Oreochromis niloticus: one gene and its partners. The main gene of each other region encodes a partner of the protein of the gene in region 4 in a complex. Links are inferred from orthologs where the notes say so. Each region holds a gene or a part of one and is shown on either strand. Other genes may lie near its edges.

The links. The genes of interacting proteins can lie anywhere in the genome.
Region 1: smarcc1a (region 4) and dpf1 share a complex: the UniProt entries of both Homo sapiens proteins name them as parts of the neuron-specific chromatin remodeling complex. The link is inferred for Oreochromis niloticus from reciprocal best matches to the Homo sapiens genes SMARCC1 and DPF1.
Region 2: smarcc1a (region 4) and smarca2 share a complex: the UniProt entries of both Homo sapiens proteins name them as parts of the BAF complex. The link is inferred for Oreochromis niloticus from reciprocal best matches to the Homo sapiens genes SMARCC1 and SMARCA2.
Region 3: smarcc1a (region 4) and phf10 share a complex: the UniProt entries of both Homo sapiens proteins name them as parts of the neural progenitors-specific chromatin remodeling complex. The link is inferred for Oreochromis niloticus from reciprocal best matches to the Homo sapiens genes SMARCC1 and PHF10.

The regions. Positions count from the first base shown.
Region 1 is NC_031979.2:8,686,796-8,694,186, reverse strand, and holds the start of dpf1 (zinc finger protein neuro-d4), read right to left. Parts: upstream 3,180-7,391; 5' UTR 3,135-3,179; coding exon 2,929-3,134; intron 1-2,928. Other genes in the region: si:ch211-11n16.2 (zinc finger FYVE domain-containing protein 1), read left to right, coding at 4,632-4,751, 5,471-5,752, 5,977-6,199, 6,295-6,512, 6,654-6,760. UniProt on the Homo sapiens protein: May have an important role in developing neurons by participating in regulation of cell survival, possibly as a neurospecific transcription factor. Belongs to the neuron-specific chromatin remodeling complex (nBAF complex).
Region 2 is NC_031977.2:35,623,480-35,630,992, forward strand, and holds the start of smarca2 (putative global transcription activator SNF2L2), read right to left. Parts: upstream 3,180-7,513; 5' UTR 3,026-3,179; intron 417-3,025; 5' UTR 387-416; coding exon 153-386; intron 1-152. UniProt on the Homo sapiens protein: ATPase involved in transcriptional activation and repression of select genes by chromatin remodeling (alteration of DNA-nucleosome topology).
Region 3 is NC_031965.2:25,545,008-25,552,927, forward strand, and holds the start of phf10 (PHD finger protein 10), read right to left. Parts: upstream 3,180-7,920; 5' UTR 3,045-3,179; intron 2,922-3,044; 5' UTR 2,779-2,921; coding exon 2,698-2,778; intron 1,410-2,697; coding exon 1,300-1,409; intron 1,009-1,299; coding exon 878-1,008; intron 776-877; coding exon 692-775; intron 601-691; coding exon 476-600; intron 350-475; coding exon 200-349; intron 1-199. Other genes in the region: mucin-17-like, read left to right, coding at 3,446-5,498, 5,889-7,920. UniProt on the Homo sapiens protein: Involved in transcription activity regulation by chromatin remodeling. Belongs to the neural progenitors-specific chromatin remodeling complex (npBAF complex) and is required for the proliferation of neural progenitors.
Region 4 is NC_031976.2:31,814,547-31,822,318, forward strand, and holds the start of smarcc1a (SWI/SNF complex subunit SMARCC1), read right to left. Parts: upstream 3,081-7,772; 5' UTR 3,003-3,080; coding exon 2,817-3,002; intron 581-2,816; coding exon 461-580; intron 364-460; coding exon 278-363; intron 1-277. Other genes in the region: fucolectin-1, read left to right, coding at 5,289-5,352, 6,024-6,309, 6,657-6,811. UniProt on the Homo sapiens protein: Involved in transcriptional activation and repression of select genes by chromatin remodeling (alteration of DNA-nucleosome topology).

The DNA of each region.
Region 1 (7,391 bases), on a different chromosome or scaffold from region 4:
AAGATGACTTATAAGCACACATCCAGAAGCCCAAATATTCAGGGTGTCTTTTGTAAACACCATAACTCTTATGAAACATTATATAATGTGGTGACAGTATACTAAAAGCCCTTTCTTGGCAGTGGATGGCCCAAATATACAGTAGATACATCTTAAGGAACTCTTAGCTGTAAGCTATATAACGGGGTTTCGAGGGATCTGAGAGAATGCGTAGGAATTTCCCATCGATGTAGTTTATTAAAAGAGTGGCCATGCCTTGATTCACAATGTAAAGAAGAGTGGTGGGAGGGGAGAGGGCTCAGATGGTTTGAGGCCGAAAAGAAGGAAAATGGACAACAAAATGAGAGAGAGGGAGAGAGAGAAAGGAGATGGCTGAATAAAAACGAGAGATGGCAAAACTAGTGATGGATTGGGAAAGTGGTGAAGAAGGAGGGAGGCATATAGTGGAAGAGAGGGCAGCAGGGTGATGGGAGGACAGAGAGGAAGTAAAAGGGAGGGAGAAAGAGAGATTATAAACGAGTCTAATCCAGCAGAGAGAGAGTGAGTGATAGACAGGGAGAGGGGCTGGTAGGGAAATGCCCAGCAGATCGGATGGAGCTCAGTGTTCTCCTCCCCTCATTTGCTGTTGCACATGAACCCTCCACCGTACCTCCACGCACGTATACTGGCTGTCACAGTGTCCCACTCACACTCAGCTGGACAGTGGGGACCAGCAGCTTCCCAAAGATTTATATACACTGAATTAATGCCAATTCACCGCAGAGATCCAGCAAGGTTTGGGGACATTCATGGGCACAACAGGCGTCGTCTCCAGGCGCGCAGGGCTCAGCCACCCTATTAGGGCTGACTTTGAACCCAATTTTGCTGGTTGTTTGGCCCATTTTACTGGATGGGTCCCTAATTTGTAAGCCTCTAATAGCAAGTTTGTTTGTAGACATGCTAATTACAAGGGCTTGTTTAAAAGCCCATTGCAGAGCGGTAACTGGAACACAGTTAAACCCACACTGCGTAATGATGGCATTTATGCAGTTGGTGAGATATTAAAGGCCGCTTTGATTGCTGTGGCCTTGTGTAATAAATAAATAAATACATCCAGCTTTGTCCTCTTCTCACGTGCTTTAAGGGAATCCAACATCCCTGCAGGGTTGATACTGGCTAACAATATGGAGGTTTTTGTCTAACTTGAAGCACTTAAAAAGAAATCAGTGTAAGACCACCACTCAAAATTGGGCTGTAGTTCATTAGTCACTCTTTCTAACCACTTACTCTGCTGTCTTTTGTACACTTTTCCACCCATTCTATTCTCCTCCTCGTACCCAAACCCTGTGTTCTCTGTCTGTGTGTCTTGGTGTGTACTCCATGCAAATGAGTCAATTTAATCCCCTGACATGGTGCCACTGAGGGCCTCTGGGAACAATCTGGACACACTTTTTCTTTGCTTGGATGAGCATCCTGTGGAGGAGAGGAGAGGAGCCTCCATCATTTTCCACCCGTCCATTCCCGTCATCGGCATTGCCACATACCTGCCCTTTAGAGCATAGATAAACCAAAAATAAATGATTCATCTCCTGCGTGTTTGCGTTATATCTGTGGTCCCTGCGTTGCGTTGTAGCGCAAGTACTTTGAACCAAAACACCCCCAAAATACCATCACAGTCAATCAGGGCTCGCTGACCAATCAGCACCGTTACAAATCCAGTTCCCTCTCTCGTGTGAGGAGCTTTTCACAGCAGGCACGTACAGGGCAGTCGTTCATGGAAATGCGCGAAATGTCGCCTCTCGGAGAAGCTGACAGACAGACAGACACTATATCCCATCTCCCTGCTCAGGTAAAAAACCTGCACAGCATCCGATGTGCCTCCCCCCCTCCTTCCTTTGGCACATAGGTCTTGTGACTTTTCTTTGTTTCAAACTGCCTGAGCTGGAGCGTTTGTGTGCTCAAACACTCCAAGGTACTCGAGCTATTGTTTTTTTGTTTTTTTGTTTTGGCTGAACGTGTGTACCCGCTGACAGACGCACATCAGCCACCTTTTTGGCCGGGAGCCGAGGCGGGCAGCAGGCGTCTGCATTCCGCTGAAACCAGTCTCAGAACAAAAAACAAAAAAACAAAAAAAAGACATTCCACTCTCCCCCCCGCCCCCCCCCCAAAAAAAAACTGCACAAAGGGGATCATCGCGGAAGAAACTTCACGGGGAAACCCGCCGCTTTAACGTCCGTCAGTGGAGATAAATGTCCGCTGTGATGTAGCTGCACTAAATGTAAAGCGCCGGGCTTTGGATTGGATTCCAGGCTTTATTCTAAGCGCCGAAGATGAAAGCAAGTCTTGGAGGAGCGTTATTTACCTCGCACTATACGTTTCCAAGAGGTCCAGCGGTAAAGGTAACGCTGCAGCCTAAAAACCCGGGAACGGAGCACTTCATTCTGTCTACCTGTTTACCCCCTCTCAGCCCCCCTTCAACAAAATATACACACAGGTACTGTAAAGCCATCTAAACCATCCCCCTTCCTCCCGGACAGCCTTGCCACTCCAGCCCGGCTTTGGCCGTGATCTTGGCTGGCTGCACTGGCAAGGGACATACCGGGTCACCCAAATCTACCTCCAGCATTCCTCCATATCCCTGCACACACGCTGCTGTTGGCTCAGAGAAATGATTATATGAATTGCATCGGAGCGCGCAATAATCCCCCCACCACTCATGCCCAAAAAACCTCCCAGAAACCTCCATCAGCTTTAAATCTAACTTTTCTCCGGGGCTCATTCGCCTCTCCTGACATTATCTCATTCTCCGCTGTATGCACTGCATGCATATAGACGCGTTGGTAATCATGCTGGGGAAATATGTGGGAAATTGAGGGGCTTAAATTGACAGTGACAGCATGCACAATGCCCGAAAAAAGCGCAAACACTCAGGAAACGTGTTGTACTTACGATTTGAGGGGGTTCTGTACCGCTGTGGCCATTTTGATATAGTATGATAGAATGCAACACTGCAGAGCCCGGTATTGTACATGTAATGTAGCAGCTATTTCAATTTCATTCATTCTCTGGGGCTGCGGCTGGAGCGGCCAGCCAATGGGAGGCGGGAGCGCTCTGTGACAGCTTTGGGGAAGTGTAGTTTTTATGCATGTCAACATGAGACGCACCGAGGAGCACAGTACTACAAGTTCCAGGGGGGGTAGCGGTTTAAGTGGACCACGGTCCCGCCTCGGACTTGTTAGGGCAATGCCCCCCCACACCCCCCATCCGAATTTATAGAAAAGAAAGAAGAAGAAAAAATCCACCACAGTTATGTTAAGGTTGGGTTGCAGGACTGTCTGTCAGTCTCTCCTATAAGCATCGTTCCCTTGTCTGGATGTGATGATGACTCTGTCTCTTATAGCTGCTAAACACTAAATTGTGTTTGTTTACAGAGGTATGATTGTGGATATGGGTGCAAATTTGGGTCAGGTATCACCTTAACTGCACTGTAAAGGGAATAACTGGATACTCGAGTAGCAAAAAGCACAAACTAACTGCATACAAAGATGTTTGCCTGTTTTGTTAAGGAAACTGTGACAGGTCTGTATAGTCATTTGTTGAAAATCAAGAGAAGTTGTTTCTGCGCAATCTTAGCGGCTTCATGGCTAGTCTCATGGATGTTAGGTAGCCCTGCAATGAGAAGCTTTAATTATTCATTAATCAGGGGTGATGGGTTGGGAGTAGGCCTATAATTGATTCTTTCAGACATTTGTCTCTCATAGTTGAGCCCGGAGAAAGGCTGGGACCCTCTCTAAATCCTTAACCACGCCATCCTTTATTGCATCCTTCCCGCACTCGCTCGTTTTCTTGCCCATACTACATCTTTTGCTGGATCTGTCCCAGATGGCGATTTTATTTGACACAGGCTAGAGACAAGGGTGTTAAAAGCGACTATGCCAAAGCCTGGGCTGGCATTTTCCATTCCCTAGACATTGGAAGGAAGGGAGGGAGGAAGGGAGGGAGGAAGGAAGGAAGGACTCAGAGCCGTTAGAGCAGCAATGCTGGAATTTCTTTCTCCATGTCATGTTAGCAGCAGTGGCGCCGCTCTGAAGCCAGTGACATGTGATATTTATAGATCTGTGCTAACAAATATTTAATGAACATTAGCAAGCAGCTCTAGCATGGCAGCACCGCTCCGATAAAACACTCTCTGTCAGTTAAGGAAACTTTGATTTTGTGCGTTATGCTTTAGTTGTGAAGAATAATAAATGTGTTATTTTATATTAACGTAGCAAGAAATGGTAGATGAACGTTATTTGTGTTTGGTTTACATCATTAATCTTAAATAAGAAAAAAAATACATATTACAGGCTACAAAAGACCGTGCACATGGGTCCACATGGTTTTATTTTATGCTTTCTCATTCCCTGATGAAGGAAGTTTGTTGAATGGCATGTGAGGTGCTGTATTGCGGCTGACCACACGGTGGTGCTCATGTACAGACCAAAGTCAAACAAGCGCGTCTTACGTCGCTGCCCTGCGTGCCCCCATCTGGCTCCTCCTATAGTCCACGCGCTGTTGTTGTGATTGACCGACAGGTAGGCGTCATGTGAAACTTTCGCTTTGCTGTTTGGTGCCGCTGCCACAAATGCGTTTCAATTAAGTAAACAACGATGTCCGATATACTGATGAAAGAAATGGATAGTTTGTCGATCAGTCCATTGAAGCCAGAGGACCGACCCGACGACGGCGGCCGGAGCTTCCTGCTCGTGGACGAGCAAGAAAACCTGCAGGTAAAGTTAGCTAACATCAGCTGAGCTAACGGCGGCTAACAGTTAGCCGCTAGGCTAGAAAGGGGAAGACTCTTGTTACGGAAGGCCCTTAACTATCTTTTGTGACGAAAAGAAAAAAATGTTGGATGAGCCAAATCTGCTTTCAGAGCTAAATCGAGCTTTTTGTCTTGAAGCTAATGAAGCAAGTTTGTTGAGGCTTTAGCTACTTCACGGCGCTTTGCTAATGCGACGTTAAACAGCGTGTTTGGATGTTCGTCGTGTTTAGCCCCTTGTGTTTTTAGCCTTTGTCTGTATACAGCCCGTGGCTTTAACGTGTGGATGGTGTCTTGATTATAATACTGTGAAAAACATTAAGTTTAAGCTGTAAATAAGAGCAGCACAACAGCAGACAGGGTTGTTATTAGGAAAGTCCCTGGTGAGTCATACAGCACAGCTGACCCACATGGAAGACACCCTCACACTGTGTTACAAAGTACAAGAGATAATGTTTTCTTGTGTACTTAAGATAATCTGTATGAACAACTAGCGTTAAGATTGAAGCGACTAATCCCCCGCAGTTCTTTTTTTTGTTTTGTTGTTGGTTTCTTTGTTTTAAATAAATAATACTGTTCATAAAGAATCAGTAAAAGTAATTTGCTCAATTGTATCACGGTGCCACAAAATAGCTCATCTCTGTAACCAGCGTGTCTCTTGGTGCTCTTTCTCCTCTCATCCTATAGGTCCGGGATGAGGCCGAGTTCGTGGAGCGACTTGGCTGTGCTGACGTAGCGGGCGTCAAGGTCCTCTCCATCTTTGGAAACACCGGTGATGGCAAGTCTCACACGCTCAACCACGTCCTATTTGATGGCGAGACTGTTTTCTACACCTCCAAGTCCCCCAGCTCCTGTACTGTGGGAGTTTGGGCTGCTTACAACCCCACTCTCAGCCTCATTGCGCTGGATACAGAGGGCCTCTTGGGAGCCGCAGCCAATCAGAACCAGAGAATGCGGCTGCTGCTGAAGGTAAATTTAGCGGTTGCTGCTTGGTTTGGGTGGAATAATTGGAGGAGTCTGTGATTTTGTGTTCTGAGTTCTAGTGTTGTCTTCGTTAATTTTTCTACTGAGGTAATGCTTATATCCTAATCATGTAAACAGAACAGTGAAACTCATTTTATTTCTCATTTCCAATGTTTTCATGATAAAAACAAGTCATCTTATTTGTAGATACATTTTTATTTCAATTTCAGGTGCTGGCAGTGTCGGATATAGTGGTGTATCGCACACGGGCAGAGCGTCTTCACAATGACATGTTCCAGTTCCTGAGTAGTGCCTCAGGGGCATACCTGAAGCATTTCACCCCAGAGCTAAGGGCCCTGTCCACCCGCTGTGGTCTGGATGTACCCCTGTCCTCTCTGGGGCCTGCAGTCATCATCTTCCAGGAAACAACACACACGCAACTCCTGGGCCAAGGTACTTCCAAGCACAACTTTAGGATAATTATTTCCCTTGGTTTTAATTTCCCGTGTCACAAATTTAAATGTTATTGTCTTTCTTTCCTGTTGTAGACTCAAAGATGGCCGGCTATGCAGACACACTCCTCCAGAAGCGTTTTCATGACCTGGGTTTGGGGACAGAGGCCTTCAGCTCAGTGCAGTACATAGGCACTCAGACGATCACGCCGCCCACGAACTATAGCGGGCTGCTAGAGGCCATCAAGCAGCAAGTGAAGAACACTCATACCCGGTCCCCCCGCCAGCCTGCAATAGTGTTTCACGCACTAGAAGTAAGTGAAGAAGCACCATATTAGAGGCCTTTAAGAAAAAGCATATGATTGTTTTAATTCTTCCTTTGTGTCTCCTCAGCCTTTTTTTCAGCTCCCATCTAGTTTTCTGTCTTCTAATCCGTTCTGTTTTTGTTTCCCCAGGCTCTGAGTGAACGTTTCTGTGGAGAACTATCAGATGAAAAGATGACACTGTACTCCTTCTTCCCAGATGAATACTTCACCTGCTCAGCTCTCTGTCTCAGCTGCAAGTAAGTCAGTAACACTGTCTACACACAAGAGCTAGAACTGGTCCTTTAAATGTGAACGTATGCTCAACCTAAACCTGAAAGCACAAGGTCAAATTCTTTGAGGCTTGAAATTTTACTTTATGTAATTGTCTTTTTAACTCTTTGCATTGTTTTTGCATTGTTATGAAATGTGTCACTTTTTTGAAAAAAGGAAAGATGAATAATTCCTAAATTATGTAAATATTTAGATGTTTGAGAAGTGTGTGTCATACCTGTATTATTATTATTGTTGATCTGGAAACTGTACTGATCTCCAGCGCTGGGTGTTTGCAGATTACCTAATCACCTTGGATGGACTGTTATTATAACCACACCCCACCTTTCCTGAGCTTTTTCTCATTTAGTTTGATCCAAATAGTTCAAGTTTTCCATCTCAGAACAGCAATCTTTTACTGTCTCTGTGATTGAATCACAGTAGAGAACAATATTCTTTTAAAATGGGAATCCTCTGCTTTTCTCATGGATGTTAACTACCTCCTCAGTGGGATGCATAAGTGCTAATTCTTTTTCCATTTTTGGTGAAGAGAAACCTACTTTGCTTCTTAGCTACTCTTCTTCCTTCCTCTTTCCTAAAACCTGAGAGCAGCGTGTG
Region 2 (7,513 bases), on a different chromosome or scaffold from region 4:
CTTCCCAATTTTTCCTCCTTTCCTTGTTTTAGTTTGGTCAGTTTATTAGTGAGCAAAGCGAAATGTTAAAAAAACTGAATCCATTAGAGTGATATAAATATCTACTTCAATGGCAGTAATGACATCACGACATAGTTTGTAGCAGACTGTACCTTATGCATAGAATACATGCTGTCCTGAGAGTAATCACTTTGTCCCTGGCCCTGCATGCCATGAGGTGCATTGGGTGTTCCGGGTCCAGGGCTGGGGCCCATCATGCTGTGAACAGAGCTCGGTGAGGGATCTGGTCCAGGGCTGGGGCCCAAGATGGGCCCTGGGGACATACCCGCCCCAGGTGAAGGGCCAGGATGCGACATACCACCTGATGTCTCTGAGGGGCCGGACATCTACTGAATACCTGTGAAGGTACCAGACAGCTAGAGGAGGAAAATGAGAACAAGACTGATGTGATTTTAATTCCATGAAAACAAGATGAGGCACATACCATCAGAAGATGGATTTTAATATGTTAACTGTTGTTTGTGAACAACGTCAATCATGTTTATATGTGATAAAAGAATGTCGGAAACAGCCACTGAGTTAGTTCAACACCTGTGTGACAGTTAAACCTGATTATGATAACCTAAGAAGCTGCTCTTTATTGCATGACTCTTTTCTTGGGTGTAGTGATACTTTGTAGAAGCTTTTATTTCTGGAGCATTTCATATGCTTTTAAACTCTAAACATAATAATAACATGTTTTGAGTGTGTAAATGCACGTGTTTTCTAGAGATTATGTCTAAAGAATCTCATTTTAATTGAAATGCAAGCTGCATTTTTAACCTTTTTCGTTCCTCGGGCATTTTTAATATGGTGATCGTTTTGGCTGTGTTCTGGTTCATGGCATGCATTTTTGCAAGAAATCTTCTATTTAGTCAAATTTATGACATTTAGTGTCTTTTACTTTTACATGTCATTCATACCCTGTTTATGTATTTTGCACCCTTTCTGAACCTCTTGATCAACTTGAGCCCTTTTCAAAATTTCAACATTAAATTATTTTCAGGATTTTAACCCTTTAAATACCAGTTTAAACATTGGAATTATTAAGTATTTATTGAATAAACTAAATATTTTCCATATCATAAATAGTATGGGAATAGGACATTGGTGGTGATTAGAGTCTTGGGCATGTCAAACATCAGCAGCATTATTATTATAAACATGATTGCATTATTATTATTTTTTGTGTAGTGCCTGATAATCCTTCTCGACACCTTCGTGGACAAAAATGCCTCATTCACTTCCACTGAAACAACACTTTTTAATCTCTCTGCATCGCAGTATAAAACCATGCATTCTGTAATGTCAACATTTTATTTGGAAGAAAAGCAGTGATATTTGACATTTTTCACCATATTCAACCATTTCCCCACAGTAGGCCAATGCATGAAGTTCTTGTATTTTTGCCAGTTGTATTATGGATTCCTGTGACCACCAGGGAGCCCCAAGAGTGATTTGTATGGATGTGTGTGTGAAACAACATCTAATTCATCAATGGGAACATTTATTATGCAAACTGCAACAACACTGAAAACACAACAGAACATGTGAAATATGAACAAATATGAACCGAAATACCCAGGCTTTGAATATGTGATGTATGTGTGGCTTTGAGAGAAAGTCCAGTTGATTAAGCGATTTATGAAAAATTAAAGACAGAAAAAAATATTTCTTTATGAGGATTTTATGGCAGATTGTGTGTGTATTATTCCTTATTTATTATATCTTAACATATTGTATTGTTAAATAGTCTAGTCTTTTTGTTAATGTTACTGTACTGGAGCAACTGTAACCCACATAATTTCCCTAGGAATTAATAAAGTATGCTGATTATGATTATACATGTGCACTACACACACAAAAAAAAAAATCCATTCAAATCAGACTTGTTGCTGATGTCTGACATGTCCGTATCCCCAATTCTATCAATTATACGGAAAATAATTCGTCTTGTGTGTGTGTGTGTGTGTGTGTGTGTGTGTGTGTGTGTGTGTGTGTATGTGTGTGTATGGGGGGGGTAAAAACAAAATGCAGTAGTTCCAATGTTTAAACCGGCATTTAAAGGGTTAAAATTCTGAAAATCATTTAACGCTTGCTCATTTTCAAAAAGGTTAAAGTTGGTGATTTATGAAAACGCGGAAAAATTATTGCTGTATGAGGATTTTATGGCAGATTTTGTGCGTGTACATTTTTGTCCACGAAGGTGTGGAAAGAGGTGCAAAATCTGAGGAGGGCACAGGGTTAAAGGCAAAGCTCTCCTGCACAGAGAATAATAAAACCCGAGGCTGCATAAAAGGATTCTTTCATATAGAAAGAAGAAGCTGACATATGTCTGACGTTATGTTCTGCTTACAAGTGTCACTATGAGCCAGAAATTTCCAGGGTCTCAACAGCCGTAGCATGACTGACTTATAGAGCTGCATAGTGATTGCAAAACGTATCTGCACCGTTAGAAAACACAGCGATGTCATAAACACCTATAAGAAAAACAAAAAACATGCATAACAATCAGCGCCACGTAGATAAACGCTGTTGGAGGACCAGCGGCACTGTTTTCCGACCGTCCCTGTACAGTTACAGTAACGTTAGCTCGATCAACTGTAGAGCCCACTCTGATTGGATCATGGCTTCCCCAAAAAACTGGTGGCCATAACGGATATGCAGACAAAATCAAAGTTAAGATGAAAGTCGAGCACCTGACATGACCTCGTTAACATTTAAAGATGCATAATTTAACTTGTGTATCGCGTTTATAAACACGTGGTTTCACAAAAGCCCTAAATTCGGCCGTTTTTCGCTGCCACTTTGCTCGATCGTTGGGTAACTTAGCCATCTGCTAACGTCAGCTAGCATAGCCCGTTAGCTGGCTCTGGTTTCCATGCAGCGAACTGCGTCCGTGTCAGAAAGTTTGGGCAGTTAGCAGTTCCTAACAGTAGTTACACCTCAGTATTCATCAAAACCGAACCACCGTTAGTCGTTTTACCTTTTCGCTGGATTGAAATTGCAGATAATTAGATGAAATTTTTATAATATTTCTTCAAAATATGACTGCTGTCCATAAGTTCACTCCCCCTCGGTGTTGTTTTGCTGACATGTTTAAGTTGTTCTTGTGTCGCCATTACTGATTTGTCAATGTCACCGGAAGTCCCACCTACCTTAAACGGTGATAGGCTGAATCGCTGTCACTCTTGCCGTGTTGTTTTTGGGCGTGTGTCCGCTCTGTAACCAGTGCTGGAACTTTGAGAGCAGCAGCCTGGACGAATATCCCGCTCATGTAAAAGTTTATTACAAACGCGCGGTTCATGGTTTGTGTTGTAATAACGTATTTGATGCTGTGAGAGGCGTCCGTGCGCATCTGTCAGTGCTCTTCTCCCTGCCTTTAGAAATGAATACTTAAAAAATAATACTTTGCTTTTATAATTGTGTTTAACATCAGAGTAATTAGCAATTAGTTATACACACTGCACATATATGCACTGCACTGTGTGTATAATATGTATGTATGTAACGTATGTATGCCTTTATATGTTCTTAGTCTATTTCACTACAGCAGGAAAATATAAGCTCACTTTTTTATTGTTTCAAGTTTTAATTTAATTTTTATTCATATTTAACATTTAATACATGAAGCTTCAAAAGCACGCAGAGCAAACTTTATGGACAGAAGGCCTGATCCAACGTAGCATCCGTGGGATGGCGAGCTTTGGGCCAGTGGTGGGTCAGTCAATTCTCTTTTAAAGAAAACTGTCTGAAAGGATCCTAATAAATGAGTAGTTTTTTCTTACTGTCAGTATTTCACAGTAAAATACCAATAAGAGTCCTTCATTAAATCACCATGTGGATAGTTGATATGACCGTGACATGGCATGGTTATGGAGTAGTTACCGCTGTCACCATCCTTCACAGCACGAAGGTTCTTGGCTCAAATCCCGGCTCTGTGGATTTCACATGTTCTCCCTGTGCCTGGTGGGATTCCTCTGGGTAATCCAACTTCAAAACAGGGCATGGATGTGAGGCAGATAAAGTACTTTAATTGTATAGAATAAAGTGCTACATGAATATATGGTTAGAATTTGACTTGTAGTCTAAAAGTGGTCAGTAAGACTAGAAAGGTACTATATAAGTGTGAGTAGATTATAGTTTAATTGTGAAGAAAGGGATGCAGAGGGGTGTCTGAAGGGGGGCACAGCATTAATTCCACTAATACTAACAAATCATATTATAATCTTAAGTAATTCAATTTCATAGGTCAACAAAAATATGCAAATGTTATGCTGAACACTCCATGTCATGGTGAGGCTCCTCCCTGCTGTATCATCAGTACCTTTTCAGTGTGATTATGTTTTTTTGCTTTGTATTCTTGCTGCTTGTATTTAATGAAACGATGCTATCAGTCTTAGACTTGGCTATTGTTCCTCCATAAAACCATAAATACACATCTACATTAATGACGATATAAACAAACAACCTCTTTTCATGCAGATATCATTTAAATTCATACAACAGAACATAAAAAAATCTCCTGATAGCAAATAACAAATTACACACTTTTAGGGGGTTCCGTGAGGAGCAGCTAGTATATTAAAAGTGCAAAAATATGGAAAGGGATAAAAAGCATAAAAGCCAATAAACAGTAAGTTGACATTGTTAAACCTAAACTGAGATTAAACGTCACAGCATACATCATCTCGTGGCACTTGTACATATGATCAGTGATATTTCCTGCATCGCTGTCTTTGTCTTTCCACAATCAGACAAAACTGCTGCACTGAGTCAGCACAGCTCTCCTCTCCTTGAATCATCGTCTTCTTTAAAATATATCAATTAAGTGATTAAATCAAATCTAACTACATGCAGATGTTGCACATTTCATCTCATAGAACTCTTTATGTTGTTAGTTACTTTTTGTAGTTTATTAAAAAAAAACTCCTTCAGTTCATTTTTTTTACATAGTGCCAAATCACAACAACATTGCCTCTATGGACTTTCTCTAAAACTCCACAATATATGAGAGATCATGTCACTGTCAGCTGTCAGTCACAGTACACAGTCTGACTGCATTAGACACCACAGTGTTTGCACACTGTTGCTGTGGTACCATTAAAGCAGCTTAGGGAAAGTGCTCCTCTGTGCAGTTTGTCAAGTGAACACAAGATGGAGACACTGACCAGCGGATGCCTCAGTGAGCCGGCCTCCTGCTTTGACACAAGCACCTGTGAAGAACTGCATGCCTGGGCTCTAAACAAACACGCCAAATACAGAGTGATTGAGTGCTACAGTACACATTTACATTTACCAACTTAGTAAGTCTGACAATAGCAGAGTTTAAAGGCAAGCCATGCAAATAATGCACGGGTTTAGCAAAGCTCCATTTGCATCCTATTGATATCAGAAACTGTGTTTTGTTTTCATTATGAGAAGATAAAGCTGTTTTTACTGAACAATGTTTATTTAAACTCAGAGTAGATATTATTTTTTTCTGTATAGTACAGTTCATAATTTGTCTGCATTTACATGAAGTGTATCTTATCCAAATGAATTAAAATAACGATTAATAACGATTACAGCCTATTTTAGCATGGTAATATATTCAAAATATTTCTCTGGGATTTCTTCCAGGCTGACTCTTTCTACACACTGGTGCTGTCAGGCTTTCAGAATCACTCAGGGAAGTAAATTATTTTAACACCCTGTTGGCTTTGTTTTAATACACCCAAAACTTTTTGGCAGTCTTCTGCTGAAGAGGAGAAATGTGCATGTGCTAGAAAGTTTATTAGAAAGTTTATATTTCTCATTTTTTACAGTAGATAAAAAATAAGATCCACCAGATCCTACAAATATGCACAAAACTCGTCTGTTTTAGGATTATTTTGAAACGTAATCAACAGGATTTGCAATAAATATCAAATATTAAAAAATGTTAATGATTATTTTTCAAATTTCAGTCTTTTGAAAAACTAATTTTATTCGATGTGAACTATCTGTGCGCGAGCAGTGACACTTTGATGACCTTCAAAGGTATTCAAAGCCCTGACCAGCCATCATTTGAATGGCCTGCACCCCACAGATCGATAAACAAAGCTGCTCACGAAACTTTGTCCTAACGTCCCCTCCTTAACAATTCTGCCCTTTCTTACGTGTCCTTATAAAGGATGTGCACAGGGTTCCTGAATGTAAATTTTACCCAAATAAATAAACCTAATTAAGTTTGTGGTGAAAGCCACCACCCCCTTCAAATTCACCGAGCCAGGAAAGGGCTTGGCCGCAGTCATTTGTCAGTAAAAGGACTAGTGGTTGTGGCTTCCATTCACCTTGAAACCCTCCGTAAAAGGCTTCGGGGAATCACTGGCATGACAATTTATTCAAAGTCTAAAGGTTTTTAAATAAAGGGTCAAACAAAAGAACATTCAAGCAGAAATGCAAAGAAGGGCTCTTCAATTTTGTCTTCTTTGAAATATCCTATTTTGCTTTATTAGTCTCTTTAAAGGCAGAATGGAACCTGAATAAAGAAAAGCACATGTGAGAGTTTTACTGTTTAAATACCAAATATTTACAGCAGCAATTAGAAGCCACTTCTAATCATTTTTGATAGTAAACGAATAGGTTTGAAAGGTGCTTCTGTTTCTGGTACCATTCAGCATAAAATAAAGTTTCTGATTATTCTGAAAGATTATTATAATTATAATTATTATTATTATCTTTCTATATTTTAATAAATCAGGTTTGGTTGGTCTTCAGACTGCAGAATGCTGCTGCAGAACTTTAAACTGGCACCAACAGAAAATCACATATACTCGAGTTTTGGCTTCTCTTCATCGGTTGCCAGAAAATTTTAGTTTGAACTTTTTGGGCCCTTCATGGTCTCAGCCCCCGAGTTTATCTCTGACATACTCAAACATCAGGTCTTCAGGTACGAGGCTGCTGCTGCTGGCCACACTTACTCGGTTCAAAATTTGTGGGGATCGGGCTTTCAGGGAGAGAACCTGGAATTCACTCCCACTGACTCCACTGACTCTTTCAAAAACCAACTGAAGCCATTTTTAAACAAACAGGTTTTTAATTCATTTGTTGTTTTATGTTTTATTCTATTGCTTTACATTGTTGTATGTTTTATTTTTATCTCTTATTTTATACATTTTACTTACTGGCTGACTTAATAATAGTGAATTAAAATCAGTTCAATAGTTGATTAATTAATGGTTAAAACATTTTAATATTAGATGTTTGGCTGTCATGGCAACTATCTTTTAAGTGTATCTTGTAAAAATAAATAGTCAGCAAACCATCTTCAGTGTTGCTCATTCACTGATTTATTTTATCTTCATTTAAATGTGGACTACTTTTAATTTGATTCATCTGTACAAACAAAGCATGCACAGCTGTATGAGGCTCATATATACCAGAGATGCTTAGAGACGTCTCTTTCAATCACCAACCCATCATATAAAATACAAAACTGATTCCCATGGCC
Region 3 (7,920 bases), on a different chromosome or scaffold from region 4:
GCTAGGGCATAAAACTGGAGAATTTCCAGTTGAAGTAAGTGAAACAATAGCCTCCAAAGAGGAAGCCAAGCTGGTTTTGGCTTTGGGAGACAGACATCTGCTCTACTTTCTTTTTTTGATAAATGCCTGAAATTTAAATTAAGCCGTCTATTGGGCTTTTACTAAAACCCTGAAAAAAACCCCTTCAGTTTGGATTTACATGTGTCTGGAGGTCAAAGTAAGCTCTCCTCTCTTCCATGCGCTCCCTGTTGAAGTTACTGTTGAACTCGGCAGCTTTTTTTGCTGCCTTCTTTATGTACTCTGGGACTTTGCTGGCCTCCACCTTCTGAGGGTTCTGCTGTTGCATTTGCTATGAAAGAACAAAGAATGTTAGAAATATATTTGGAGATGTATGCAGAAGATTTTCATTACACTTTAGATGAAAATATTGTGGCCCTACTTCTACAGGATCTTTTTTTGTTGCTTGTGAACTTACGGAGTACTCTTTTGCTATTCTCTGTCGCTCCCTCTCCTGCAGTATGACAGAATACTCTGAATGTTTGGTGGGATATTCCTTTATCATCAGATCGATCACCTCATCACTCCTCAGAGCTGTCAAACCTGAAGAAAAGGAAAGAAAAGGAAAGATGTTACCTTCTGATATCACAACTGGAACAGCGGTTGAGTCTGAGTTTGAAGGACTGGTTTCTACCCAGAGTGCATTGTGTCTCAGTGATGACATTCTGTTCACGAAGGTAGAGCTTCTCTTTGTGGGACAAGTCTCTCCTCTCCATATCTAAAAAGAAACAGAAAAGCACAAACCAACACCACCAGTTAATATCTTAGAGTAACTCTTTACAACAAAAAACAGATAAACACAAAAAATCTCACTTCTTACCAGGATACTTCCTCTTGAACGACGTGACTCCCAGATACTCGCTGACCTGCTCCTGCAGCATATAGTACTCTCCTGTATCGTCTGGTGGCCATTTGTATTCCGTCAGGTTTTCTGCTGGGAAATACGTCGGACTGGAAAGGAAGGTTGGAGGGACAACAGAGTTTGATGATTGGAAAAGATTTTGTGAGATTAATCTTAGCTGATATAGACAAGAAAATCGCCACTGGAAGAACTAAATAGACATCAATACTGACAGTTACAGCTTTTAGGGTTTATCATATACAAGTATATTTTGGGGATATAGTAAAATAAAAAAAGAATGTGACATATGGTAACAACAAATTTTCTGTCCTACTTGGTTGTCAAGAATGCTTGAAAATTATGCCAGTGGATGTTTCTTGCTGAATGCTAAACCAGCTTACCCAAGATCTTGACTTGAGGTATCACAGCTTCGAGAGCTGTCCCCTGAGCCCATTCTCCTTCTCTTGGGAGGTTGGCTGCCATCATTGGACACTTCTTCTATGACATCCTCCTACAGAGGAAAAGAAAAATCAGAATTAATTTTTAACATTAATTTTTAACATTAACATTACATAATGTGATGTTTGAAAACTCCAGAGCATGAAGTATATCCACAAAACTTTTAAGAGCTTTCTGATTTTGTATTGGACACTTTCATGACACAGAAATGAATAGAGCCCAAATTAATTTTTGCTTGGTAAACCTGAACCCTAGGACTCATAATTGCAGGATTCATCTTCCTGTTGCTACAGCAAATTTTAACATGTGATTCTGCAAGTGGTGGGCCCATCTGACCCACTTGGTTCCTGACAGAGTTTACATTCTATCATCGCGTAGGACCAATTTGCCTTGAGAGACCCCACTAGAAGCTCCCAGGATTACTTGGTTGACACCATGTTAATGTGACCTCCTAGATGAGTTGTTTCATATTTTAAGATAAGACCCAGGATGTGCTGGAAAGATTACTTCTCTCAGCTGGCCTGGTAACATCTTAGAATCCCACCAAGAAAAGATAGAAGAGGGGGCCGGGGAGAGAGAGGTCTGGGCATCTCTGTTTAGCTTGCTGTATCCACAAATCAGGCCCACTTAATGGCTGAGCAGTGCATACTTTTACTATAAATGAATCACAGAGTGTATTTAAACTGAGTGTGCTTTTCTGTATATGCTCCTCAGGCATGAGATAAAAATCACACACAGTGCACACTACTGCTATTTTAGACATGATAGTATTTCCCGGCCTGATGAAAACTTTTTAAACAACTGCAAAAGTAAACATTTAGAGATTTAGCCGGTTTAATACAGAGGGTTCATTTTGAAACACACTAAAAAATTATTTCAGATAAGGATATTTCCCCTCTTACATAAACACGAAGCTTTATTGAATATTATTGACGGTAGAGTTAATTTATAATGGTGCTAAATACAGACCAAAACAAATGTATGAGTTTACACGCCAAAGCTGGCTGACAGAAGGAGCACAAATTGTCAAATCACTTATAATATTACAACATTAAACGTCGCGTTTTTACTTAGATCATTCAAAAAGTACACAGACCAGATCACTGCAGATACATAAAACGAGGAAATTCAAACCGAACGAGCTAACTAACCAATTACTACACAGCTGAAAACAAAGGAGTGACGCTAATGTGGCTACTGATCGTCAATCATGGACTAAAGTGTCCCATAAATGGCCAGTTAGCTATTAGCTCAGGCTATAGCCGTGCAGAGCCGAGGGAACTGAGCTAACAGAGACTCATGTTTTTATTATTAGTATTATTAATATTGTTATGGCGTACAAATGTCACCTTTATGGATTGTGCTCCGGGGGTAGCGGGGTTGCTATCGCAGGGCGGCCTGACGGGGAGCACAGCAGCCATATTTTTTGCTAAATGATTTCTGCAGCTAGGCTAGCATACTAGCTCGTTACTTCTTCGTTGAGAAGTTTCGCGGCTGTTGGCGAGCGTTGAAACATGGCCGACACCTGCTGGACTGGAGGGCTGGCTTCAGGACAGGACTGGGACTGTGTGGTATAATTTTAATTATTATAGACAGTTAAAGTAAATTCATGGTCGTTACAATCTGCATAAATTAAAACTACGTTTGATGAGAAGTTTGAACAAGTTTTAGTTATATTAACCCTTACATGCTGTTCACGTGTCATGCTTTGACAACGTGGTTTAGGCCAGTTTTGACATAGGCCAAGAATTCCCTCATAAAAAGTACCTGCAACGAATTTTGAACCACACAGTAGCGGTTTTTGATATGGGCGACATGGGCGGTTGCCCAGGCCAACATCATGATGACATCAGGTGCATGTGGCTTTTGTCATAGAATGTTGAAAGATAAGATCAAAGGAACATGCCTCATGACATCAGGTGCATGTGGCTTTGATCATAGAATGTGGAAAGGCATAAATAGAAGCTGATCCTTAATTATACAGACATATTACTTTGCTCTACACAGAACATCTGTACTAAAGCAAAATTTAGCACAAGAGAATAACCACTTAAAAAAACAAACAAAAGAAAAACACCCAACGAAAACATGTCTAAAATGCCTGAAAGTGAGGAAAAAAACAGAATAGAAATGACAGAAAAATCCAGTGCATCTGGTGAAAGCAGTAAAACTTCTACCATTTGCCTGGCTTATGTCACATATGAGATACATCATTTCTCAAATGTGGGAACGCAAGAAGAAACATGCCTGCCAAAAGTCACACCAAACCCTGGCCAAAAAAAAGAAGAAATGAGGAATAAATCTAAAAGAGTAGGACGCAGCTGTCTCTGTGCAGTTCCTACTGGTTCTTTGCCTAAGTTACCACAGAAGCCAGCCTGCCGTACTGGACCAAAGCCAGCCACTGTGACCGTTAAAACTAGGATGGTGCCAGACAGGAAACGGACCCAAAATAACCCAAACCAACAAAACTTGAGCAATCTATCTAAAAGACCAGGAAGCAAATGTCCAGTTGTAATTTCTACTGGTTTGTCGCCCACTTTAGCACGGAGGCCACTCCCTGATATTCCATCAAAGGCACCCACTGTGAGTGCTAACACTAGGAAACATATACCAGTTAATCTCATGGTGCCAGACAGGAAAAGGACCCAAAATCACCCAAACCAACAAAACCTGAGCAATCTATCTAAAAGACCAGGAAGCAAATGTCCAGCTGTAATTCCAACTGGTTTGTCGCCCATGGTAGCACAGAGGCCACTCCCCCGTATTCCATCAAAGGCACCCACTGTGAGTACTAACACTAGGAAAAATATACCAGTTAATCTCATGGTGCCAGACAGGAAAAGGACCCAAAATCACCCAAACCAACAAAACCTGAGCAATCTATCTAAAAGACCAGGAAGCAAATGTCCAGCTGTAATTCCAACTGGTTTGTCGCCCATGGTAGCACAGAGGCCACTCCCCCGTATTCCATCAAAGGCATCCACTGTGAGTACTAACACTAGGAAAAATATACCAGTTAATCTCATGGTGCCAGACAGGAAAAGGACCCAAAATCACCCAAACCAACAAAATTTGAGCAATCTATCTAAAAGACCAGGAAGCAAATGTCCAGGTGTAATTCCTACTGGTTTGTCACCCATGTTAGCACAGAGGCCACTCCCCCGTATTCCATCAAAGGCACCCACTGTGAACGTTAACACTAGGAAAACTTTACCAGTTAAACATCACATGGTGCAAGGCAAGAAAGTAAGCTCACCCAGTAAATCTCTACCCAACTCAGCCAAAGACACCGTGAACCGTGGTAAGTCTCAAAACATGTTTACTGACAAAGAGGTTGTGCAGACTGCTGCTACTATGAAAGAGGAGTTGTCAGTACCAGTACTGTCAGAGAGCCCCTTTCATATGACAAAGAAAACATGCAGTCAGACGATATCGGCTCATACAGTTCAAGACTTGCCAATAGAAAACAACGAACTTGACAGGACAGATGCTGCTGAACCGATCACTGATGGCTCTTTGTCAACAAATATCTGTAAGGACAATGCAGAGGTTGTCAGTGCTGGAAGTGAACTCGAATCCACGGATTCTGAGAATCACGATGAAAAACCGAAAGGAAAAATCGGTTTCCAAAAGTTCAAAAGAGCAGTGACAAAACAATTTCATAGAAAGAAAAAAGCCACTGGAAGTGAAATGCAATCCATAAAAGGGAAAACACGCTTCCAAAACTTCAAGAGAGCAGTGAAAAAACAATTTCAAAGAAAGAAAATAGCCAGTTCAGAGGTGTCTGATGAGGAAAGTGCCTCTCCTGAGTCAATGTTGACTAATGATGAGGTTGTGCAGGGTGCTGCCTTCATGAAAGAGCAGTTGTCAGAGAGTCCCCTTGACATGACAAAGAAAACATGCAGTCAGACGATATCGGATCATACAGTTCAAGACTTGCCAATAGAAAACAACGAACTTGACAGGACAGATGCTGCTGAACCGATCACTGATGGCTCTTTGTCAACAAATATCTGTAAGGACAATGCAGAGGTTGTCAGTGCTGGAAGTGAACTCGAATCCACGGATTCTGAGAATCACGATGAAAAACCGAAAGGAAAAATCGGTTTCCAAAAGTTCAAAAGAGCAGTGACAAAACAATTTCATAGAAAGAAAAAAGCCAGTTCAGAGGTGTCTGATGAGGAAAGTGCCTCTCCTGAGTCAATGTTGACTAATGATGAGGTTGTGCAGGGTGCTGCCTTCATGAAAGAGCAGTTGTCAGAGAGTCCCCTTGACATGACAAAGAAAACATGCAGTCAGACGATATCGGATCATACAGTTCAAGACTTGCCAATAGAAAACAACGAACTTGACAGGACAGATGCTGCTGAACCGATCACTGATGGCTCTTTGTCAACAAATATCTGTAAGGACAATGCAGAGGTTGTCAGTGCTGGAAGTGAACTCGAATCCACGGATTCTGAGAATCACGATGAAAAACCGAAAGGAAAAATCGGTTTCCAAAAGTTCAAAAGAGCAGTGACAAAACAATTTCATAGAAAGAAAAAAGCCACTGGAAGTGAAATGCAATCCATAAAAGGGAAAACACGCTTCCAAAACTTCAAGAGAGCAGTGAAAAAACAATTTCAAAGAAAGAAAATAGCCAGTTCAGAGGTGTCTGATGAGGAAAGTGCCTCTCCTGAGTCAATGTTGACTAATGATGAGGTTGTGCAGGGTGCTGCCTTCATGAAAGAGCAGTTGTCAGAGAGCCCCCTTGACATGACAAAGAAAACATCCAGTCAGACGATATCGGATCAAACAGTTCAAGACTTGCCAACAGAAAACGATGAACCTGACAGGACAAATGCTGGTCAACTGTTCACTGATGGCTCTTTGTCAACAAATGTCTGTGACGAAGATACAACTGGTAAATCCCTACTCAAATCGGGCAAAGACAACAAAAAGTATATTGATGAATCACAAAACACAGTTTTCTCAGAGGTATTTCAGAAGGTATCAGGAGATCTCTATTCGCTAAAAATGCATATAGACTTTTGGAAAGCCAAATATGCCTCTTCTGTGAATGCTGATGAGTTTGTTGAAAAAGAAACCCAACAATACTTGCAAACGTTTTTTGAAAGGCGCCTGGCAGAGAGCTCTTGTGGTATATTAAAGAAAAAATCTAGTCAGACAACACCCAACACCACCTCTCCAGAGGCACCTGACGATGAAACTGCACGTCAGTCAAGTGGCTCTCCTGAGTTGACGTTGACTGATGATGAGACTATGCACGCTGCTGCCACTATGAAAGAGCAGTTGTCAGTACCAGTACTGTCAGAGAACGCCCTTGACATGACAAAGAAAACGTCCACTCAGACAGTTCAAGACTTGCCAACAGAACATGACGAACTTGACAACACAAAGGCTGGTCAACCAATCACTGACAATTCTTTGTCAACAGACAGCTGTGAGGACCACTCAGAGGATGTCAGTGCTGGAAGTGAACTAGAATCTATGTCTTCTGAGAGTCATGATGAAAAACCGAAAGGGAAAACACCTTTCCAAAAGCTTAAGAGAGCAGTGAAAAAACTATTTCACAAAAAGAAAATTGCCACTAGAAGAGAAGTGCAATCAACAGATTCTGAGAGTCAAGATGAAACACCAAAACGGAAAACACGTTTGCAAAAGATGAAGAGAGCGGTGAAAAAACCATTTCACAAAGAGAAAACCAGCTCTTCAGAGGCACCTGACGATGAAAGTGCACGTCAATCAAGTGCCTCTCCTGAGTCGACGTTGACTGATGATGAGACTACGCAGGCTGCTGCCACTGTGAAAGAGCAGTTGTCAGTACCAGTACTGTCAGAGAACGCCCTTGACATGACAAAGAAAACATCCACTCAGACATTATCAGATCAGACAGTTCAAGACTTGCCAACAGAACATGACGAACCTGACAACACAAAGGCTGGTCAACCAATCACTGACAATTCTTTGTCAACAGACAGCTGTGAGGACCACCCAGAGGATGTCAGTGCTGGAAGTGAACTAGAATCTATGGCTTCTGAGAGTCATGATGAAAAACCGAAAGGGAAAACACCTTTCCAAAAGTTTAAGAGAGCAGTGAAAAAACTATTTCACAAAAAGAAAACCAGCTCTCCAGAGGCACCTGACGATGAAACTGCACGTCAATCAAGTGGCTCTCCTGAGTCGACCTTAACTGATGATGAGACTACGCGGGCTGCTGCCACTATGAAAGAACAGTTGTCAGTACCAGTACTCTCAGAGAACGCCCTTGACACGACAAAGAAAACGTCCACTCAGACATTATCAGATCAGACAGTTCAAGACTTGCCAACAGAACATGACGAACCTGACAACACAAAGGCTGGTCAACCAATCACTGACAATTCTTTGTCAACAGACAGCTGTGAGGACCACTCAGAGGATGTCAGTGCTGGAAGTGAACTAGAATCTATGGCTTCTGAGAGTCATGATGAAAAACCGAAAGGGAAAACACCTTTCCAAAAGTTTAAGAGAGCAGTGAAAAAACTATTTCACAAAAAGAAAACCAGCTCTCCAGAGGC
Region 4 (7,772 bases):
AATCACCAAGTATACACTGAAATATAACTTAAATTATGTGTATTGGCTTTTACACACCATTTGCATCAACTGATGCAAATGTTTTTTTTTTTTGTTTTTAACTCCATAAACCAACATCCTAAAATACAAGACCATTAAGATTTTTGCTTATCTTCAAAATGCACAACTGAGATAGTTCAAATTATATTTCTAAGACCAATGACTTCAAAAGGAGGGTTTAAGTTAATGATCAATGTCAGACCCATCTGCTCATATTAAGTTACATAAGTTAACTTACCAGCCTTGCTCACTCTTAAACTTGTAGACAGATCCCAGAATGTGACAGAGAGCACCTCCTGCCTTGAAATCCAGGAAACACTTGGCCTGAAGATATGAGAGGAACCATAAGAACAGAACATTTTACCATTTGGGATTAAACTGTGATGGTGATTTTCGTAGAATGTAATGTTTGTATGCTTACAGGTAGCTTTGTAAGAGCAGGATTGTTGACTCTTCGCCCAAATGCGTCTTCCTGGAAATGCAGCAGCTGGACCACGAGACCTGCCAGGGATTTACTGGAGGGGGAGTCATTCTGGACGTACTGGAAGTAGGCACAGAAAAAAGTTATCAGTAACATGATAGCAATGGCACAGATTCCCATCTCATCTAGCAGTCTTTTTTTTTTTTTTTTTTTTAAGCAAATCAAGGTGGCCAAAAGACAGAAAAATACAACCTACAAGGGTTTAGATTTTTTTTTTTTTAAATGAATTAATTCCAAAGAAATGCTCAAAAGTCTGAGAATGGGCTTCTTCATTTGATAATAAGATAACTCTTTATTGTCATTGCACAGTCATACATAGTACAATGAAATTGGAAAACTGTCCCACAACGACATTGCATACAACACAACACGACACAAGTTATGTTACTGTGATGTGTTAAGTAATAAAAGAAAATAATAAAAAGAAGTCTGTTACCATGATATGAGCAGCCACGAGAGTTGTTTACTAGAGCTCCAATTCTGTTTTGTTTTGCTATACTATTATTAAGCAGTGGGGTATAGATAAGTTAGTCCTGTAAAGAGGCTCATGCACATCTCAGATGGCTTAAGTCATGACGGAGAGCATCATTAGCATGGTTATCAGCAGCTGGGAACATCATCACAAAGATAAGAGCAAGCCTCTCTCCAGAGCATGTCCAATCGTGAATTCATGAACCAAATCATATAAAAACTATTGAGTAATGTTAAAAAACATTTGATTATTTTGAAATTCAAACGTTTCTTGGATCATTATTTTAATTTGCTGGGGGACAAAACAACAGGGTGATATTCACAGGTGGGCAGACTTGAGCAGATGAGGTACTACAGCCTAGAACAGGAGGTTTGGCTACAGGAAGCAGAGATAAGAGTTACTGAAATAATTAGGCAGATTAGTCGACTATCAAAATAATTGTTAGTTGCAGCTCTAGAGAGTCAACAGACTAATGATTTTTGTTTAAACTTGTTATATCTTTTGCCTTGCATGGGAACAGGTTTCTGCTTAGACTGCCGTCCCTGAAATCCAAGTCCTGTTTCCAGCAGGACAAGAGGGATAGTTGGATGGTATTTATTTCCTGATCTTTTTGCTCCAGAGAATCAATCTTGACCAAAAAAATTTAAAAATCAAGTCATGACTTTATCCTTTAAGGTTTAGCCAGTGCAAAATCAATGTAATCCAAGAGACAATGTTAGTGAATCCCATTTATATACTATTGCATCACCAAATAATGACACAAGGTTTCAATGGCTTATTTTAGATTTAGTCTATGCAAAATTAATGCAACACAACAACTAAACACTGACCAGAAAGATCACAGTCAACAGCAACAAAGTACATTTAAAGCTGGAAGACCTTCCACTGCTATATGGCCTCAAATAACTCACATAAATATCTTTGCAAAAACAACAACAACAACAACAAAAAACAACAAAAGGATGTATTTATTATTCTTAAAGGCAAATTTATTGAACAGTGCATATGCTTAAAAAAAGCCAAGTTTATATATTAAATATTGTAATATACATCTGCGTGTAAACGCTGTACTCACAAGCCCTTATCTATGCCATTTCATTTGAATAATGTTTCTGCTATAACTTGAGCGGGCACAACGTGTCAGTGGTTTTGAATGAGAGCCTGATGTGACAAGAGGAGCATTCTTTGTTTGGCTAATTCAGTAGGCAAGTGCAACCTGCACGGTGTGCTATGCTGCTGTGTTGACAAAACTAAACACACTGACAGCATGGAACAGGACTGGGCCTGCAAACAGCACGCAGTGAAGTAGATAATTATCTTCTAAGTAAAGTACCTTTTAAGATGGCATAAAAAGGAGGCTGGGGTTTATTTAGCTAATATTATAAGTTCTGCATGGTATGTCCCGTGACTTACATACAGGTTAGCATCTCGGGCCTTTTGAAAAACTAATAAGAAAGTTTGGTTTATTATTATTTCTTTTTAATGAGAAAGTTATTACATACGGGTTAAAAAATTATACGCGGCTATGTGTCGCTCGTTTGTAAACATTTCCCCCCTGAGCGTCATATTAGTAGCAACATTGAATGGGCAGTTAGCGAGCTAACTATAGCTATTTGATAAACAAGAACTGATAACTCTATCGGTCTAGGACAATGGGCAGTATACTGACGGTGAACTCCCAAACAAAATTATATAGAAGCACTCTTAAAACTTAACTCTACTTAGCTCTGGGTGGCTGCAGCTAACTAAAACATGAGCGCCCCTTTGTGCTAGCGAGACGCGGGCCTTCATAGAAATCAATGGAGGAGCGGGCAGCTAGCTTACCTTCTTGTAGTGCTTTCCGATCCAGAGTCGCACAGTCTCCAGCTGGGATATCGTGTCTGAACTTTCCCAAAATTTCGCAGACGGACCACCATCTTTCTTTCGTCCCACTGCGGTTAAACCACCGACGGGGCCAGTGGTCGGTCCGCCCGAGCCCGTTCCGCCTGCCGTTGTCGCCGCCGTCGCCATTGTGTGTTTTGTTCGCTGCGTTGTCTTTCTCCTCCACGGCGTCCCTCAGCGTGCAAGTTTTCGAATGACATTGCGCAGCCGCAAACGTGTTGAGCATTTTGAAGTCTCGCGAGCCTGAATATCAGATGGTCCATGGGATATGTAGGCACCTGAGAAGGTTATTCCTGTTTTTTTTTAGGTAGTTTGTGTTAAAAGTAAGACGGCGTATTGGGGCCATGGTATGTAAAATAAAAAAAAGGGGGGACCGGGTTGATATAATAACTTAATAATAGCCATTATAAGTTATTTGGCGGAGTACAAAATATCAATTTCCAAAATTCAAGTCAAAAATTTCAAAAAACGTAAATTAAAATAGTACATTTTTAAAGAAAAATCTTGTACTCTTTATGGTTATAAATTCACAAAACTAAGAGGAAAAAAAACTGTTTAAAAAAATCTAAGATTAAAGTCTAAAATTTATTCATTCATTTGATTATCATCATTATTATTATATTACTCTTGTCCGTTGTTCTCATGTGGTTTGATACTTTTTCCTGCAACATATAGATTTGAATCTTCGTATGAACTTTTATAATCCAGTGAATGTGTTTTTGCCAGCAAGATCCAAGTAGCCACATTATAGTAACAAAACAGAAAGTTGTATGTAAACTAATTCACATAATTTTTTTGGTGTTGCTTACAGATTTTTTTCCCTGCTTTAACTACTCAAACATAATATGAGACTTATATGAGAGTTCAGTCTTACTTTTTTGGAGGGGGGGTTATATGTACTAAATTAGCACTCTTACTTTTCAAAGCTATTGTCTATACTGGTGCAGTATAAATGAACTATTTTCATGTAATTTGACAGACAAACTTGACTGTTTGCGAGCAGCAGTCAGGATGGCGCCATCTTGTGGTGACACTTTTTTTGCCTACCAGCTTTGGTCAGATTTAACCTCTTGCACAAACAAGAGAGATTACTTTTTGTCAGGTAATACAAGACTCTTTTCAGCTTAGTTTGTGCCTGTGTCTGTACAGAGCCAGGAGGTGGAGCAAGTTTACATGACTACACCGTGATGTAAATAAAACCTCAATAACATGTAGATTTCAGCAACTATCTATCTATGTCTGTTCAAGAATAAGAGAATAAAGCTGTCTTCACATAGGTTTACTTCTTGTAAATAAAGTACATTAACATATCATCTAAAAGTTAAGAAAGTGTTTCCAAAAAGTGGTGAAATGGTTATTTTATTTTTTATTGATTTACTTTATTTGTTTTTGGTTGAACAGTAAAATTGCACTACATTCTACATTTCTCTCTTTCTGTTAGTCTAATTAAATCCACTAATTTAAAAAAAAAAGTAGTTTGTTAAAACCCATCACAAGTTTAATCAAGCACAAGAGATAAAAAATGTGGCATGTGCCCAGTAAAAGGGGTGTACTGTTTAAATCCAAGCTGAGCTGATAACGGCACTTTATGATACCAGTACTAGGAATTTCAAACCCCAGCTGATAAATATCTGGTAGATTAGTGAGCAAAATCCTTTATATTCAACAGAAAAAGCTGTACACGAAGCACAGGGAGTGGAACAGGAGCTCTTTTTTTGCTTCAAGAATATTAGCACGGCCCTATAAATGAGAATAAATTACAATAGTGCAATAGTGTGGCATATTCAGCATAAATTTTCATATTTTGCTTATATTTGTTGAAAACTGAATATACCAGAAGCGAGTCAGTTTATTACTAAGGTTGGGGTCAGATTGACTTTACGATTTAACCCACTTGAGATAGGCTTGAGTATATGAAACCCATTTTACTTTTTCTAAAGTCTTTGTGAAATGTTTTGTTCTTGTTTTTATTAATCTTGCCACTTTTTCTATTTTTACATCATTTTTCCTTTTTACGTTTTAGTACGCATGGTACCATAAACCTTAGAGATACATTTACCAATGCATTTTTCCAAAACATCAGGAACTGCCAATACCCTATCTTGTTTGGTAGCTGAAATGAGCCTTATCTCTATAAGGAAAAGGACAAAGTCCTCGGTGGCTTATTGAAAAACAAAGCTCATGTGCCCTGGTTGGATGTGAATATAAGTAACAATCCTTAACAGCAGCTCCTCATCTGCGTCTGATTATAAGGTATGTAGTTTTCATTTAAAGACGTATAATATCCTCTAAGGGGGTTAAGAGGGTCACTCTTTGTTTTTACTTTAAATAAATGCGTTTTATTTTTGTTTAAGTTTAGTTTAGGCTTTAAAAAATATGTAAGTTTCTATTTTCTCAGTGTGAACAGTAGGAACAATGAAACACATTTCAGCACTGGTTTTGCTCCTTCTCCTGGGGATGTCCTCAGCACGCACCTATCGTAAGTATGATCTGGATGTATATGGACTCTTTTTTTGTAAGGAAAAGTAGTTATGTGTAAAAAAAAAGAAGTGTAATAATAAGAGGCAACGTGTTTATCACCAGGTAGAGATAGAGAGTGAAGTAACAGAAACTTAACAAAGTATAATATGCTTAGTTATTTGCAGTCACTGCAGTTTCTAGAGTTTAGAGCTGAATGTTTCATGTAAGTAAGAAAAAACATTTTTCCTTTACCACAAGTATGCAAATTATTAAATGAGACATTTAAGCAACATCATTGTCTTACGTGAGATGTGGATGTCAAAAAAAACCTTCCAAAAAACACATTAAGGAGTCAGTTTTTCAGTTTCTACAGTAAGAACATTCTTTCGAACCATTCTTTTGGCTCACCAAATTCAGCATCTTATGTAATCATTTTGAATCATAGGTAGTCTTTGCTGACTAAGCAAACTAACCAGTTGTGTTTGCTGATAATTGTGCAGCTCTACCAAATATGCCTATCCAAATATGTTCATATACTACAGTCACTGTATTACTGTAAACAGAGTTATCAAGCTAACTACATGAGGAAGTGACTAAATGAGGTACATTTGAATGGCTGCTCATTTTCAGCTGCTTGCTTGAATGCATGTCCTTCCATGATATCTTTCATTTGCATTCTGCTATTTCCAGAAAATGTGGCCCTGCGTGGCAAAGCAACCCAGTCAACCCGTATCAATGAGGTATTGTCGGCTGCCTACGCTGCAATTGATGGAAACCGTGATTCTGACCTTCGCCATGGATCATGTTCGCACACCAATCAACAGACCGACCCCTGGTGGAGAGTGGACTTGCTCGAGCCCTACATTGTCACTTCCCTCACCATCACCAACAGAGGAGACTGCTGTCATGAAAGGCTCAATGGGCTGGAGATCCACATAGGCAACTCTTTGAATAATGATGGCTTAATAAACCCAAAGTTAGTAAATATAGAGCAATAAGGAATTAGCAACAATGTTGTGATTTGGCATTTTACTCATTTTTACCTTTGCAGTGTTTGTTTCTTTCTGTTTTTCCTGAACGGCAACAGGAGAGGTTGCTGTAGGACTGACATTGTTAGCTGCCCATATTCTTTTTATTGGCACTCCCTATAATAGATTCCTATATTAAATCATCCTATTATATATTAAAATAGAGAATATCAGGTTACAGTTTTTGTAAATTTTGTCAGCAAATTCCACTAATTGAAAATGATCACGCTGACTATCAAATGTTCTGATATTTGCTGCCATGGTAACTTGTATTTTCTCACACACTTTTTGTTAGGGTTGGAAAAATTTCAGAAGTTGGTGCAGGCAAATCCTACACTGTGAATTTCGCTGGTCGTGTGGAGGGGCGTTATGTAACTTTGAGTCTTCCTGGTTCACAAAGGATCCTCGCACTCTGTGAAGTGGAAGTCTACGGATATCACGCTCCAACTGGTGAGAATGTGAACTACTACATGAGCTGCACGGTATGCAGCTCTATCGCCAAACTCTGGTATCCAAACTTTCAAGCTGATATTAAAGCAGTTTAATAATAGATATTTATTATCATTACTGTTCATCACTGTAACCATGATGACAAAGAGTTTGCTTCATGAATTTTTTTAATTTAAATTAAAACAAAAAAAAGAAATACTATTGTATTGTATAAACGAGATTAACGCTGACAGCACTATTTCCTATTGATTTCTATGAACTAACTTCAGTAAGGCCTTCAGTGACACTATCAATACATCTGTTAGCCCACATTCCTATAAAGAACTCTTTATCATTAATCAATACTTTGATTTTAAATATGATCAGTTCATCTTTTTTTAAGAAGCTAAAGGCTTTTAAGGTGGAAGTATTTAAATCATTAATTCAGAAGCCTTTACTTGATCCAACTTTCTTGTCCAGCCTAAAAAGAAAAAATAGGATTCATAATTCAAAAGCATAGAAACAGGACTAGCAAAGGTTACTAATGATCTCTTTATTGTCTCTGGGAGCGGACTCATCTCTGTACTCGTATGTTGTTGGACGTTACTGCATTTGGTAACTCTGATCAAAACATTTTACAAAAGTAACTTCTCATTTCTAGAATACAACACTGACATGAAGAGAAATGTGTTGAAAATTATAGTTATCTGACAAATCCTAATCTGGTCACGTAAACAACAAGTTTTTCGCTCACAGAAAAATTATTCCATTAGGGAATATTATCAGAAGTCAGAGCATATATTTTCACTACTGTCCAGTTATTGGAGAAGTGGCGTGGCTCTAGCAATAAAGTGAACGCTGCAATCTTTGATTCTAATGAAAACATAGATGAGCTTGAAAGGAAGGCTCTAGATTTACTGGTAAATATATGCCCAAACCCTCAGCCATGGCCACGAGCTTTGGGTAGTGACCAGAACAATCA